Schizosaccharomyces pombe: one gene and its partner. The protein of the gene in region 1 interacts with the protein of each later gene in a biochemical or structural test. Each region holds a gene or a part of one and is shown on either strand. Other genes may lie near its edges.

Region 1 (6,938 bases):
GCCTCGAGTCCAGCCTTTTCTACTTCATTTCGAAAAACTGCCTCAGCCATTGGACTTCTGCAAATGTTTCCCAAGCATACAAAAAGTACTTGAATATTCTTGGTCATAGTTTATAGTATATTCTTGGGATTTTTGATGAGTCAAAATTTCCTCTTCTATTTGTAATGTATAGATATTATAGAAGGTGTAAGTTTAAATGAAAGACAAGCGAATTTTTACCACAGTTAATTGGTAATAAAAAAGTTTGAACTTTTGGTAGGTGCACCTCCCGTTTTTAACAATATTGAAAAATACTAAAAAGTAACTACAATGTTTCCAAATATTTAAGGAATGTTGAATGTAAAACGAAAGTGATCGTATTTTCACGTTTCAAGGTAGTAGAGGAAAATGCAAAGACATGTCAAATTAGTGCAACCTCAATTGTCCATTACCAATTAATGTTGACTGTCACAATCTTTTATTTTTACTGATTACAATATATTGCATTTTATTTCTCATACATAACTTTTTTATTTTATTTTGTTTTAAGCATTTGCATACATTTTTTGGAATATCAGATATGAGTTTCTCTAGAAATCAAGTGCTAAAAGGACTAAAGACGAAAAAAGCCAAACCTAAGAAAAACCCGACTGTAGATGAACTCTTTGAAATAGCTATTGATCTAGAAGAAAGTGGGGATCGCTGGCGATTGGAACCTGCAAAGGTATGTACAAAGCTATAATGGTGAATTTCAAAAACGTTTGAACATGATCATTCATACGAATTGTAATATTAGTTTTGAGAAACAAATAGAATTTACGCTTTTTTGCGCCGAGTTCTCAATACTTGAGCACGTGAAATTAAAACTAACAAGCAATAGTGTTTAAGATTTTATCAAAAATCCCTTGAAACATATGATAGATATTTATTACAATGTCCGAATGATTTTGATGCTCGTTTTAATAAAGCAAGATTGCTACTCAATATGGCTACAAACTGCGATATGCTATACAAAGATTCACAAGTATGCCTCCAGAAAAGTATTGAGATGCATAAGCACGCCTTATTATTACAAGAGGCCCCAGATATTTGGTTCAACCTTGCGCAGGTTCATCTTAATTTGGCTGAGATTTGGGTGGATCTTGATCGCGAAGATTTGGCATATCCTGAAATCCAGCAAGCACTGCAATCCATTTCACATAGCATTGATTTACAAGAACGAGAAAGAATTGAATGGGAAAATACTATACAAACATCGTCGCAACAAAAATATGAAGAAATACCTGACATACAGGCTCGACGATTATACTTTATAGAAGCAGACAAAGAGGCATCGACATTAGTTACCGAAATTGCTTCTTTAGCATGCAGTTGCAAGTTACTTGAAGAATCAGATTTTGAGAAACTCTGTCAGATAATGCTACCGATTACGGAAAAACTCGATATATTAAAGCTAATGGACTGGTACTTGGCGAAAACCAAACGTTTAGTACTTGGTGGTAAAGAAAATGAGGTGGCATGGATTGATTTACTGCAAGTTTTTGACCATCAACTTAGCCAATTACCACAGCTAAACTTGCAAAACCCGTTGGATCCGAACTCGTCTGTTAAACCTTTGCATATTCAATTGCTGTGCGACAAAGCCGATGCATACATAGACTTTGCAGAGACGCTACTAGATTCCTGCGTATCTACAGAAGAAAGCGCATCTATTGAAATAATGACTAGAGCCTGGAATATGTTAGGAGTAGCTGCCAAAAGTTTAAAGATGGCTAACACTTACAATCCTAATCATGTAAGAATACTCATTTCTAGAGCTGACTTAGAGATTCAACGTGCAGCTATCCCCATCATGGTAGCTCAAAACTCCAAACTTGTGTTGTATAAAAATGCCAAAGTATTATACGAAAAAGCATTCCGTGATTATTCAACCAAAAAGACAACAAGAACGTTTGCGGAGATTGTCTTAAAGCATTATCAACTACAGAAATTGACCAACCCAGAAACGATTAAGATGCTGGACTCCTTAACTGAGGTTGCTCAAGAAGACATTCTCAATACCATTTAAAGAAACAGACGTTTCTTACTTAATTTGGCAGGCTAATTAGTGAATCCAATTATAAATATAAAGTTTTACTTTGTTTCATTACTTGTATCATCAAATTCATGTTTCGCTAGCCGAATTTTTGCATCGTATTGTTTCATACGCTCCAAATGATCTTGCTTCAGAGCATTCAGATGAAATGCTTCGCTACCGATGATGAGCCATAATAGCCCGAACGTATACGTTGATGACCAACGTAACATGGAAAAAATTGACTTTTAACTAAAAAAAACTGTTTCTAATATCTTTGGTGTGCAAGTTCAGACTCAGTATTTGGAGTAGCTGCTGTAATTAATCGATATAATATAAATCACAAATGATTGAGCCTTTTAAAGGCGTTGAACACTTAAGAATCAAAACTCCAAAATACCGAAAGACAAAGAGAAAAAGAAAATCAATATTTTTCGCTCGAAATAAGGATTACCATTAAGACAAGTTTTGACTGTACGGAACTGTGTAGGATAACGGTAAATCAATTTTCTGCAATGCTTTGATATTTATTGACTTTCATTAAATCTCTGTAAATCAGAATTTCTATTGTCTATCTAGTTTTGTCCATTAAATCAGAAATTATTCAGTTTCTATTATTGTTACTTTTTATTTATAATAAGGATTTGTTTAATTCAACCGAATAATGCTAGTTGGTTCTTAAAGTCATACTCCTTATTTCCTTCATTCCCAGCCTACTCAGTCTTTGCCCGCAAAAAGATATTTCAAGGCCTATTTGATTTAACTCATTTATTCAAATTTCACTTTTTGTTAACTGAGTTTTACTTTTGTTCAACCTTGACAGCTCAGCGAAATTAGTGTAAATAAATAAAATCAAAAGAAGCGCTAATTCAAGAGGCCTTTTTGATTCTACTTTTTACTGTGTATACAACTTATAAATGACATTATATCCTTGACAAATTTGCTTACGTTTGTTTCAACTTTTATTAACCCCTCGAAATTAAATTATTATTATGCTCATGGCATTGTTGATCAAACATTGAGATTTGATTAAGCATATAAAATAATAATCATAAGAAATAAAACACTATGATAAATATAATTCTTCTAAATGTATACTAAAAAAAAAAATCCTTGAGAGTTCGCCTTTTCTCTAATTTTAACGGCACCAAACGTGGGTCATTAAAGACTAACATCTCCTTTGTTCTCAGTATTCCATGCCTATGTTAAATTCTGAGACTTACCAAGAGCTTGAATATCAACAATCATAGGTTACTTCCTATATGTCTATTTATAGATTTTTTTACAACTAATTGTCAGATACATTTACTTAGAGAATTCTTAGCTTTCCCTTTTGAATATTTCAAGTCTTAGCATTTAGTGACTGATTTAGACTCCTTTTTTATGACTTGCTGATATCCTCGCCTTACGGTGTATAAAATTCATATTTACCGCTATTGCAGTAAGGGCAGCAGTTTTTTTCATTTCTTAATTCTTCCGTACTTTACTTTACAGCATAACTATATCTTATTTGATCATTTGCTCTGTTAACGATGTTCTCTTCGAAGGAAAATTCCTTAGGTGCTAAACGTGCCCCATTTTCATCAAATACAACATCTTCTCAAAGAGTTGCTGCCCAAGCCGCTAAACGAGCATCTTCTGGTGCATTTGCGCAACTTACTTCTTCCCAAATTCAAGAACTTAAAGAGGCTTTTGCCCTATTAGACAAAGATGGTGACGGTAATATTGGAAGAGAGGATGTCAAAACCATGCTTACTTCTTTGAATCAGGATGCCTCCGAAGATTCAATCAATCACATGTTTGAGTCAATAAATCCGCCTATTAATTTAGCCGCTTTTCTCACTGCGATGGGTAGTATGCTGTGTCGAATCTCCCCCAGAAATGATCTACTAGAAGCGTTCTCTACATTCGATGATACTCAATCCGGCAAAATTCCAATTTCCACTATGAGAGATGCTTTGTCAAGTATGGGTGATAGAATGGATCCTCAAGAAGTCGAGTCTATTTTACGCTCGTACACCAGTCATGGTGTATTCTATTACGAGAAATTCGTTGATGCTATTGCTGGGTCAAAAGATAGCAATTGAGTTAAGAGCAGCCAGATATGTTTCACATTCTTCCCTCTAATACTTTATCTTTTTAACCTGAGCCATTTCCCTTAGACGAATTTTCCTCTTCTCTTTTAACTTTTTATGAAAGCATTTGATACATTTATGTTCGTTGTGACCTATACTTTATGTGTCTCAATACTTAGCTACTCTCTGCGACTTTACTATTATTTGCAGTGTTTAGTGAGTTAGAGCTTAGGCTTAATGTCATTAACCATATTTTCATTCGAGGGTTCAATTAATGTATGAATAAATCTATATTAGCCCAGCATACCTATGTTCCTCATCAAAATTATCCTACCTTGTAAAACAGCTCTCACATGACTAGAAAAAAATAACTTTTAAGCACCAACTTGTACTTGTTAGTAGTATAAACTACATTATTCGAAAACAAAATTTGATGTACTAATAAGTATCCATAAACTTTAATATTACTAATCAACATTCCATATTATAACAACTTCCAAACAACCTGTAATCTAGTGTGTATTAAGAAAAATCGTGTAGAAAGAAATTTTTGAATGACAACAGACACTAGAATCGTTAACAATGTATAGGATAACTTGCTTTAATCCAAGAAAAACATTATATGCATAAATTTTGGAAAGACACATTAGATGCATTTGATTTAATCGACTTCCTCCATCTTGCTCTCAGCATTGTTTTCAGCAGCGACGGATTCGGTAGAAATTTCCTCAATAGGAGCCTCCTCCTCTTCGTCAATGCTAAGACCAAGAGAAATAAGACGGTTGATACGTTGAGCATAAGCACTAGGGTCATCAAGAGTGAAACCAGAGGACAACAAGGCGGTCTCATACAAAATAGTAGCAAGATCCTTCACAGAGCGGTCTTCGGCACCATTCTCCTCAACCTTCTTCTTGAGCTCAGCAATGATGGGAGACTTGGGGTTAATCTCAAAAGTCTTGCGGCTAGACATATAGGCACTCATAGAAGTATCACGAAGGGCTTGAGCCTTCATGATACGTTCCATGTTAGCAGACCAACCATATTGACCGGTAGTTAACAAGCAAGGAGAACCAACAATCTTGTTAGAAACAACAACCTTTTCAACCTTGTCACCCAAAATGGTCTTAAGTTGCTTAGCAAACTCCTCATACTCTTTTTCGAGCTTCTCGCGAGCAGCCTTCTCCTCGTCAGTCTCTTCCAACTCAAGACCATCCTTAGTAATGTTAACCAATTTCTTGCCCTCGAATTCCTTGAGTTGAGTGACAGCGTACTCATCAATGGGGTCAACCATGAAGAGAACATCAAACTTCTTGGCACGGAAGATTTCCAAGAAGGGAGAGTTCTCAACGGCTTGCTTAGATTCACCAGTGATGAAATAAATGTTCTTTTGATGTTCGGGCATCTTAGTGATGTAGTCCTCAAGACTGATAAGATCATCAGGGGAGTTAAGGGAGTTGTAACGCAAAAGCTTGGCTAAAGCAGGGCGGTTAGCAGCATCCTCATGGATACCAAGCTTCAAATTCTTGCTGAAAGCATCGTAGAAAGTCTTGAAGTTCTCCTTGTCCTCGGCAATCTCGTTGAACATATCAAGACAACGACGGACAAGGTTCTTACGAATAACCTTCATGATCTTGTTTTGTTGAAGCATCTCACGAGACAAGTTCAAGGGCAAGTCCTCAGAATCAACAACACCCTTAATGAAACCCAACCATTCAGGAATCAACTCTTCACAGTCGTCGGTAATGAAAACACGGCGAACATAGAGCTTGATGTTGTTCTTCTTACGCTTGGCCTCAAAAAGGTCCATAGGAGCGCGGCGGGGGACGAAAAGAATGGCACGGAATTCCAATTGACCTTCAACGCTGAAGTGCTTGACGGCCAAATGGTCTTCCCAGTCGTTAGTCAAAGACTTGTAGAAAGAGGCATACTCTTCCTTGGTAACTTCACTGGGGTTGCGAGTCCAAATGGGCTTGGTCTTGTTCAACTCCTCAGTCTCAGTGGTGGTCTCCTTGACCTTCTTGGTCTTCTTCTCCTTCTTCTCAGATTCATCATCAACCTCCTCAATCTTAGGAGCCTTATCGTCTTCTTCATTCTTAACTTCTTCGGTCTCTTCTTCTTCAGGGACCTCCTTCTCAACCTCACGGGTAACAACTAATTGAATGGGGTAAGAGATGAACTCACTATGTTTCTTGACGGTATCTTTGATAGTCTTTTCCTCGAGGTATTGAAGTTGGTCTTCTTTCATGAAGAGACGAATCTCGGTACCACGTAACAAGCGAGGTCCATCGGTGTCCAAAGTGACGGTGAAGCTACCACCAGCAGAGGATTCCCAGATGTATTGCTCATCGTCATTATGCTTACTTACGACTTGGACCTTGTCGGCAACCAAGTATGCAGAGTAGAAACCAACACCGAATTGACCAATCATGGAGATATCAGCACCAGAAGCAGCAGCTTCCATAAACTGCTTAGTACCAGACTTGGCGATAACACCAAGGTTGTTGATAAGGTCATTCTTGGTCATACCAATACCGGTATCGCGAATGCTAAGGATTTTGTTCTCCTTGTCAGGAGTAATGCGAATGAAAAGATCCTTCTCAGCGTCTAAGGCATGAGGATCGGAAAGGCTTTGATAACGAATTTTGTCCAAGGCATCGGAAGCGTTGGAAATAAGCTCACGAAGGAAAATTTCCTTGTTAGAATAAACAGTGTTGATGATTAAAGACATCAACTGGCTGATTTCAGCCTCAAACTTGAAAGTTTCTGTGTTCGACATTTTGTAATGAAATCAAATTGAAAACGAAAACAAA
Region 2 (6,481 bases), on another chromosome or scaffold:
ATTCGAAAAACGATGGAAAATGGAGAATAAAGGAAATATGGAGCTGTCAAATTCTTATGGTTTTTATAAAAATGGTCGTAGGGTTTCATTCGTAAAAGCCACTAGTGAACAATCGTTGGACGAAGCCACTTTTATTGAAAAAGGATCGGCACAAGCATTTTATCATTCGTTATTTGAAAATGATAGGGATAATTCGCATACTATGAACAGCAAGAGGGACGAAGCTGGTTTTGCTTGTGAAGTGTGTCAAATATACATTCCAAATAGCAAAAAAATTAATCATTTTAAATCAATGACTCACCTTCTTTCTTCACAACATATTTCAAACAAATTTCAACCCCATTTATTAAAACCAAAAAGCCTTGGTTATCGAGTTCTTTCTCAGTATGGTTGGTCTCCCCAAGGAGATACTGCTGGATTGGGTTTGGAAAATCAGGGTCGTCGTGCCCCGGTTAGAGCATTTCGTGTAAAAAATGATACGATTGGACTCGGTACCAAGATTGATTTGGAGAAAGTTGCAGTAAATAAATGTCGCAAAGGCAAGCGTCAGTGCCAAATCCAACACTCAAAGGATGTACGCCTTAAAGAAGCTTTAATTAAACATTTTTCGTCTAATTGAGTTTATCCTTCTTGCATATGTCCAAACGTCATTAACAATTTTAAGTGTGCTAAATTTGTCCCATTGAATGTACATATTTTATAGTGTTTAGTCGATTGGTTATAAATCTATAGTGTTCAGTTAAAACACAATTGGATGTTTTTTTTTCATGAGGTTTTGTTGTGGAAACACATTAATTAAGGATAGCATCACCCTCTTTTCTTATGAAATATTTTTTCTTTTAGTCTTTGTAACATGGAGGGCTGCCTGTTTTGAAATTTTGATTGTTGAGGTACAAACCGCCGAGTAAGCAAATTAAATATACCCCCAAATGTAAGCGCTATAACTGTTGAAGTAAATATGATTACGTTATACGGCATACTAAAATCTGGTGTAGGAATGAACATTAGAAGCGCAGCAGTTCGTAGGCTACAAAGCTTGGTATTGTTTTCATCAAACACGCTGATTATTGCTGGAGGAAGATTGTAACCACGATTTGCATCGGGAGGATATTCGTCTAGGCGTAAGGGTGTTTTTTCTACATTAAAATGAACAATCAGATTTGTATGTGGAGGTATTGAAAACTGGATTTCCATCATCGTGCCTGCCTTGCGATCTCTTAACGGTTGATAATACAATTTTTCAATAAAATCTTTAGTATTAATACGTGTTCCATTCAAAGTGATAGTTAAAGTATGTAAGTACACGCGCACGAACCAAGGAAATTTTTCAAAATAAACAATAGTTCGAGGAGAAGATGAGGGATTGTAAATTGTAGAAGACAAACTTCCCCAATGGTTGCCATCGTTCGAAAGGGAACGATCAACAGTGACTGTATGATTATCGGAAGTAGATTGAATAGGGATTTGAATATTTGCAGCTTCGTCTAAACTAAAAGTGTCAATTTTATCGCCATTTGAAACAAAAACGTCAGAAAAAGTTGAGGAAAGTAGACATCTTTCCTTAGGCACTTTATGAAAAAGATCATCCACGGTATGATGTTCGGTTGAATAACCAGACATTAGACAATGCAGAGAATCCATATCCTCATCATGGCAATATTCAGAAGGAGGTTGAAAAGTTGTTTTGCCCTTTCTCCTTCCGTTCCTTTCTACATCTACCACCGCTTGAATTATAATGCCCATCTTGACTGAAGCAAGAGACTGATTTTCTGAAGGATAAACATCTATGGAAAAGGAGTGCCAATCCGTATCAAAAAACAAATGGCTATCCAATAGACTGGCAATTCCTGCTTTTCTCTTACAAGGGAGAAGCTTGAAAAGCGGAGATAAGTTTTCAGTACAGACATCTTCTTGAGGGAGCGAAGCAAAATATTGAGTGTTATTGGAAAACGAAAAGGAGCCTGGATATGAAAGTTGTGGTTGATAAGTGTTGGAACTATCAATATAATTTAGTGAAGCACAAAGTAAGCCAGAAAGTTGGTTAGTCAATTTCAACCAATACTTCATGCTGGGATCATTCGCCATGAAAGCCCAAACTTCAAAACCCAATCCACCCGAATAAAAACCATTGTCGGGAGACTCTTTCCAATTTTCATAGTCCCATCGACCACGGGTTGCTCGAATATGTAGCTCTGAAACCTGACATTCGTCCATTACTCGGGCTATAGATAAAGGAAACAAAGAGAAGCTTGATTCGGAGAATACTGAAGAATGTGTACTGTCAGTTGATGCACCGATTTCAAATGCGAATGAAACATATGAGTAGCGACTTGAAAAGCTCTTTATGAATAGAGATTCATCATAAGTCTCGTCTATAGTTGCTGCCGTTAATGAAAAGGAAAGCAAGCTGTAAGCAAATAATAATAAACATCCGTTTTTTTTCATATCTAACAAAGAAACCTGACAATTTAAAAGTATTTGAGTATAATAAATGAAAATTAGAAAACTAATGCGATACGATGTATTGTGACCAAATGAGAACCTAACAATTGATTTTCTTTCGAATAGAAGGATCTTTTAAGAGAAATAGGAAACAGTTAATGGACAAACTGATCTCGATGTGAATTTAAGTAGTACTTTTCGAAGTTATTCGTGAATCAGATTTAACTTTCATGAGTACAATCACAGTACCAGATAAAAGTTATTGCAGCGTTCACTTAATAAAAAAAATGCAAGAATGGTAATTAAACAAAAAGCCAGTACACAATTGTCGAATGAAATAGAATATCTCAGTAGGTTATGGGATGTTAAAGGCGAATTCCAAAAAGAACTTGCTTTTTCAAATTCACTGATTTAAGACTTTATAACAAAAAGATCTTTTTTATAAATCCTAACTGATTAGTGAAATTAATATAAGATAATATGCTTGCTGGTGAATATTGAATCAAAACTTGCTACTGAAGTGATAGTAGCATTCAACCCTACGCTTAGAACTTGATCTTCACCAACAACCCAGTAACCTACTTTATACTTCTTTATGCGCCAGCGAGTATACCACCGAAGTCTTATAAGTTTTGTTTAATTTAGAACTATACATTAAACTATCAAGAAAATTATCCAAGTAAACAGTGCTGACGCGACCTTCGTGTTCTAGTTTATCATTTATAGAGATTTAGTCAATTGAGTAGATTCTTTGATATTCTTTTCTTTTTGAAAAGGATCTATTTCAAAAGTTTCCTTTTCGGTTGTTAATCTGTACAACTGATTCCTCATAAAAGTGGCAGCGGCACAAGTTACTGTGCCCTTTGCGCCTCTTACTAGGAGAAAAATCCTTTTCAACTTAAGTGCTCTATTCTTGTCTTTTTGTTTTTTTTTTGCATACTGAAACTTATTCCTTCGTTCTGCAACACATTTGCCATAGTCCTATTTCTGTTTTTCTTTACCCTTTTCGTTAATAAATTTATTTACTATGGAAAGAGGGACTTTACAACCTCGAAAGAAGGCTCCAAATGGCTATGGAATAACCCCTATTGTTGCTCATAAAACTGGTGAACCTGTACGTTATGAAGTAGAAGATGATTTGAGAAAACTGAAGCCCAGCAGGACAGCTCCAAAGCCTCCAGCTATAAATACTAATCTTGCTGAAGACACCTTTTCCGGTTTCCCTTTATCTCAATCCCGTACAACTGTATCTAGGGTTTCACTTGGTTCTCGTCAGCATAGTAGCAGTTCCATTAGAAAACTTCAGACTAATGTTTCTGATGTGCGTTCATATGATGAAAGGAACCAAAAGAAGTCTGCGTTTGAAAACTTTGTCTCGAGCATGAGTTCGTTCTTAACTGGGGGTGGTAGCAGTCCTACAAGTTCCTATGGGTCAGGCTCTGCCAGCCCTCGCAAATCGACTGTCATCTCTTCTCCATTTGATCCGAAGCATGTCACTCACGTTGGTTTTAATTATGATACTGGGGAATTTACTGGAATGCCTACTGAATGGCAGGCACTACTAAAAGTCAGTGGCATTACAAAGTCGGAACAAGTACAACATCCACAGGCCGTTTTGGACGCTATGGCTTTTTATTCCCAATCCAAGAAATATCTTGAGGAGGGAGCAAAGCCACCCTTTCCCCGTGAAAGTACTGAGAAGCCTTTACTCTCCGTTTCAGCGTTGTCTAGTAGTTCTCATCTTCAACCCACCTCTGCTACAAGCTCATCTTCTCGTTTGTATCCTTCTCGACCTGCTCCCACGCCTCCTGCAAGTTCTTCATCGTCTCCTTTATTATCATCACAAACAGTTAAAACTACTACCTCTAATGCTTCTCGACAACCTTCTCCATTAGTTTCCAGCAAGTCAACCGATAATATAATCCGAAGTCATTCCCCTGTTTTGTTAACGCCTCAAACCTTAAGTACATCTGAAACGAAACATATCCGTCCGAATAACTCGACACCATATCAACGGAGAGCCGAGACTAGCACCAAACCGAAAGCTGTTGCGACTCCTCAAAAAGTGGAAGCACCAAGTGCCCCTCGACTTCAAAAGCGTGCACCTCGACAACAATCCAATGATTCTGCTGTATTGGCAAAGTTACAGTCTATATGCAATCCCAAAAATCCAACACTTTTATATCGAAATTTTGTTAAAATTGGTCAAGGTGCTTCTGGTGATGTGTATTCTGCTCGCCAAGTCGGCACTAATCTTTCTGTTGCCATCAAGAAAATGAACATTAATCAACAGCCAAAAAAGGAATTTATTGTCAATGAAATACTCGTGATGAAGTCACATCATCACAAAAACATTGTCAATTTTATTGACACTTTCTTCTATAAATCAGAGTTGTGGATGGTAATGGAATACATGCGCGGTGGCAGTCTTACTGAAGTGGTTACCAATAACACTCTTTCAGAAGGTCAGATAGCTGCAATATGTAAGGAAACGTTGGAAGGCTTACAGCATCTCCATGAAAATGGCATTGTTCACCGTGACATAAAATCAGACAATATCCTTCTCTCACTTCAAGGAGATATTAAACTTACCGATTTTGGGTTTTGTGCTCAGATCGACAGTAACATGACGAAACGAACGACGATGGTTGGTACTCCATATTGGATGGCTCCAGAAGTCGTTACTAGAAAGGAATATGGTTTCAAAGTTGATGTCTGGAGTCTTGGTATTATGGCTATAGAGATGGTAGAGGGAGAGCCCCCGTATTTAAACGAAAATCCTTTACGTGCTCTATATTTAATTGCTACTATTGGTACTCCAAAGATTAGTCGGCCAGAATTGTTAAGTTCTGTTTTCCATGATTTTCTTTCTAAATCTTTAACTGTTAATCCTAAGCAACGCCCTAGCTCCGGTGAGCTTTTAAGGCATCCGTTTCTTAAGCAAGCCGTTCCAGTTTCATCCCTTATCCCTTTGATAAAATCCATACATCATTCTGGTAAATAGGCTAACTTGTCAAAAAAGTTTTTGAGTAAACATCTGCTGTTAGAAGTTTCGGAATATCCTCCAACGTTTGCTTAAAAACTGTTTCTTCTCACATTGTTTATTTATCGTTAATATGCTTTTGCAGTTCGTTAGAATATATGTACCTGAGTTTATTTTTTTGCCTCCTCCACTAAAATCCATATCCGCAGGTTGGGCAGATTCAAACAGAGTACATTTTAACTACTTTTTTGCTTTACTTTAATTCCTTTTTCTAGTGCATACTTTACTTATCTGTTCCTTTTTTTTTGTTTTTTTCTTACTGCCAAGAATGATCTCAGTGACACTTGGATAATTTTTATAATAAATGAGACAATGCTTCTTTCTAAAAGTCTCAACTTTTTAATATTCGCAATGCATTATAAAAAAACTAAAAGGAAGACTAACTTATCAAAGTATTCAAAATGTAAGTACATGATTCTGAGATTGATCTTGAATCAGTCAAAATAGGTTTGAATCTTTTAAAGCGATGTTTCAATTTCAATTATGTGGAATCTCAAAGTGAAACGCCTGCTGGAATATTTCACAAAATTTTTGATCTACTAAAATTAGTACAAATACGTAGAAAACTTCAAATAATTAAATGGACTATGATTGTAGCGTAGTTCATGAGCTTAAGAAAATTGTCAACATTAAACTGCGAGACTTAATAAAGAGAGAGCGCACTTAGCATTTAAATGTCAAGCCAAAGCAATAGTGAATTTGAGGAGTCTCGTTATACATGGGTTATTACTACTCAACAGCAGACTATAGATTTAGGCAGCAGCCTACTTCTTAAGCATTGTCTCGAAACCAAAGTAACTGGTCTTTAAGTTTCCTTTTGACGACTTCCAATTATTTCAAACTCTTTTCTCGGAGATCGTAAATCTATCTGTGATTGGGTCTACTGGTTTTAGAAAACGGCTATATGCATCGTTTTATAACTATATAATTAAGATCAAGTTCTGCAGTAACTAAGTTCGCCTTACCTTGAGAAAACTTTTAAAATATTGTTCAGCA

Evidence for each region.
Region 2: of the proteins of rlc1 (region 1) and shk1, one has a biochemical effect on the other in vitro, tested with the Schizosaccharomyces pombe proteins (one study listed by BioGRID).

What each region holds. Positions count from the first base shown.
Region 1 is NC_003424.3:3,883,985-3,890,922, forward strand, and holds rlc1 (myosin II regulatory light chain Rlc1), read left to right. Parts: upstream 1-3,277; 5' UTR 3,278-3,585; coding exon 3,586-4,140; 3' UTR 4,141-4,513; downstream 4,514-6,938. Other genes in the region: protein tyrosine phosphatase Stp1, read right to left, coding at 1-107; SPOM_SPAC926.02 (uncharacterized protein), read left to right, coding at 560-703, 860-2,047; protein Ina22, read right to left, coding at 2,113-2,286; Hsp90 chaperone, read right to left, coding at 4,790-6,904.
Region 2 is NC_003423.3:3,901,613-3,908,093, forward strand, and holds shk1 (PAK-like kinase Shk1), read left to right. Parts: upstream 1-3,003; 5' UTR 3,004-3,469; coding exon 3,470-5,446; 3' UTR 5,447-5,981; downstream 5,982-6,481. Other genes in the region: SPOM_SPBC1604.16C (G-patch type RNA-binding protein), read left to right, coding at 20-619; gpi16 (pig-T family GPI synthesis protein), read right to left, coding at 808-2,445. UniProt on the Schizosaccharomyces pombe protein: MAP4K component of the MAPK pathway required for the mating pheromone response. Phosphorylates histone H2B to form H2BS10ph. Phosphorylates tea1. Required for skb1-dependent mitotic inhibitory function. Regulates microtubule dynamics and cell polarity.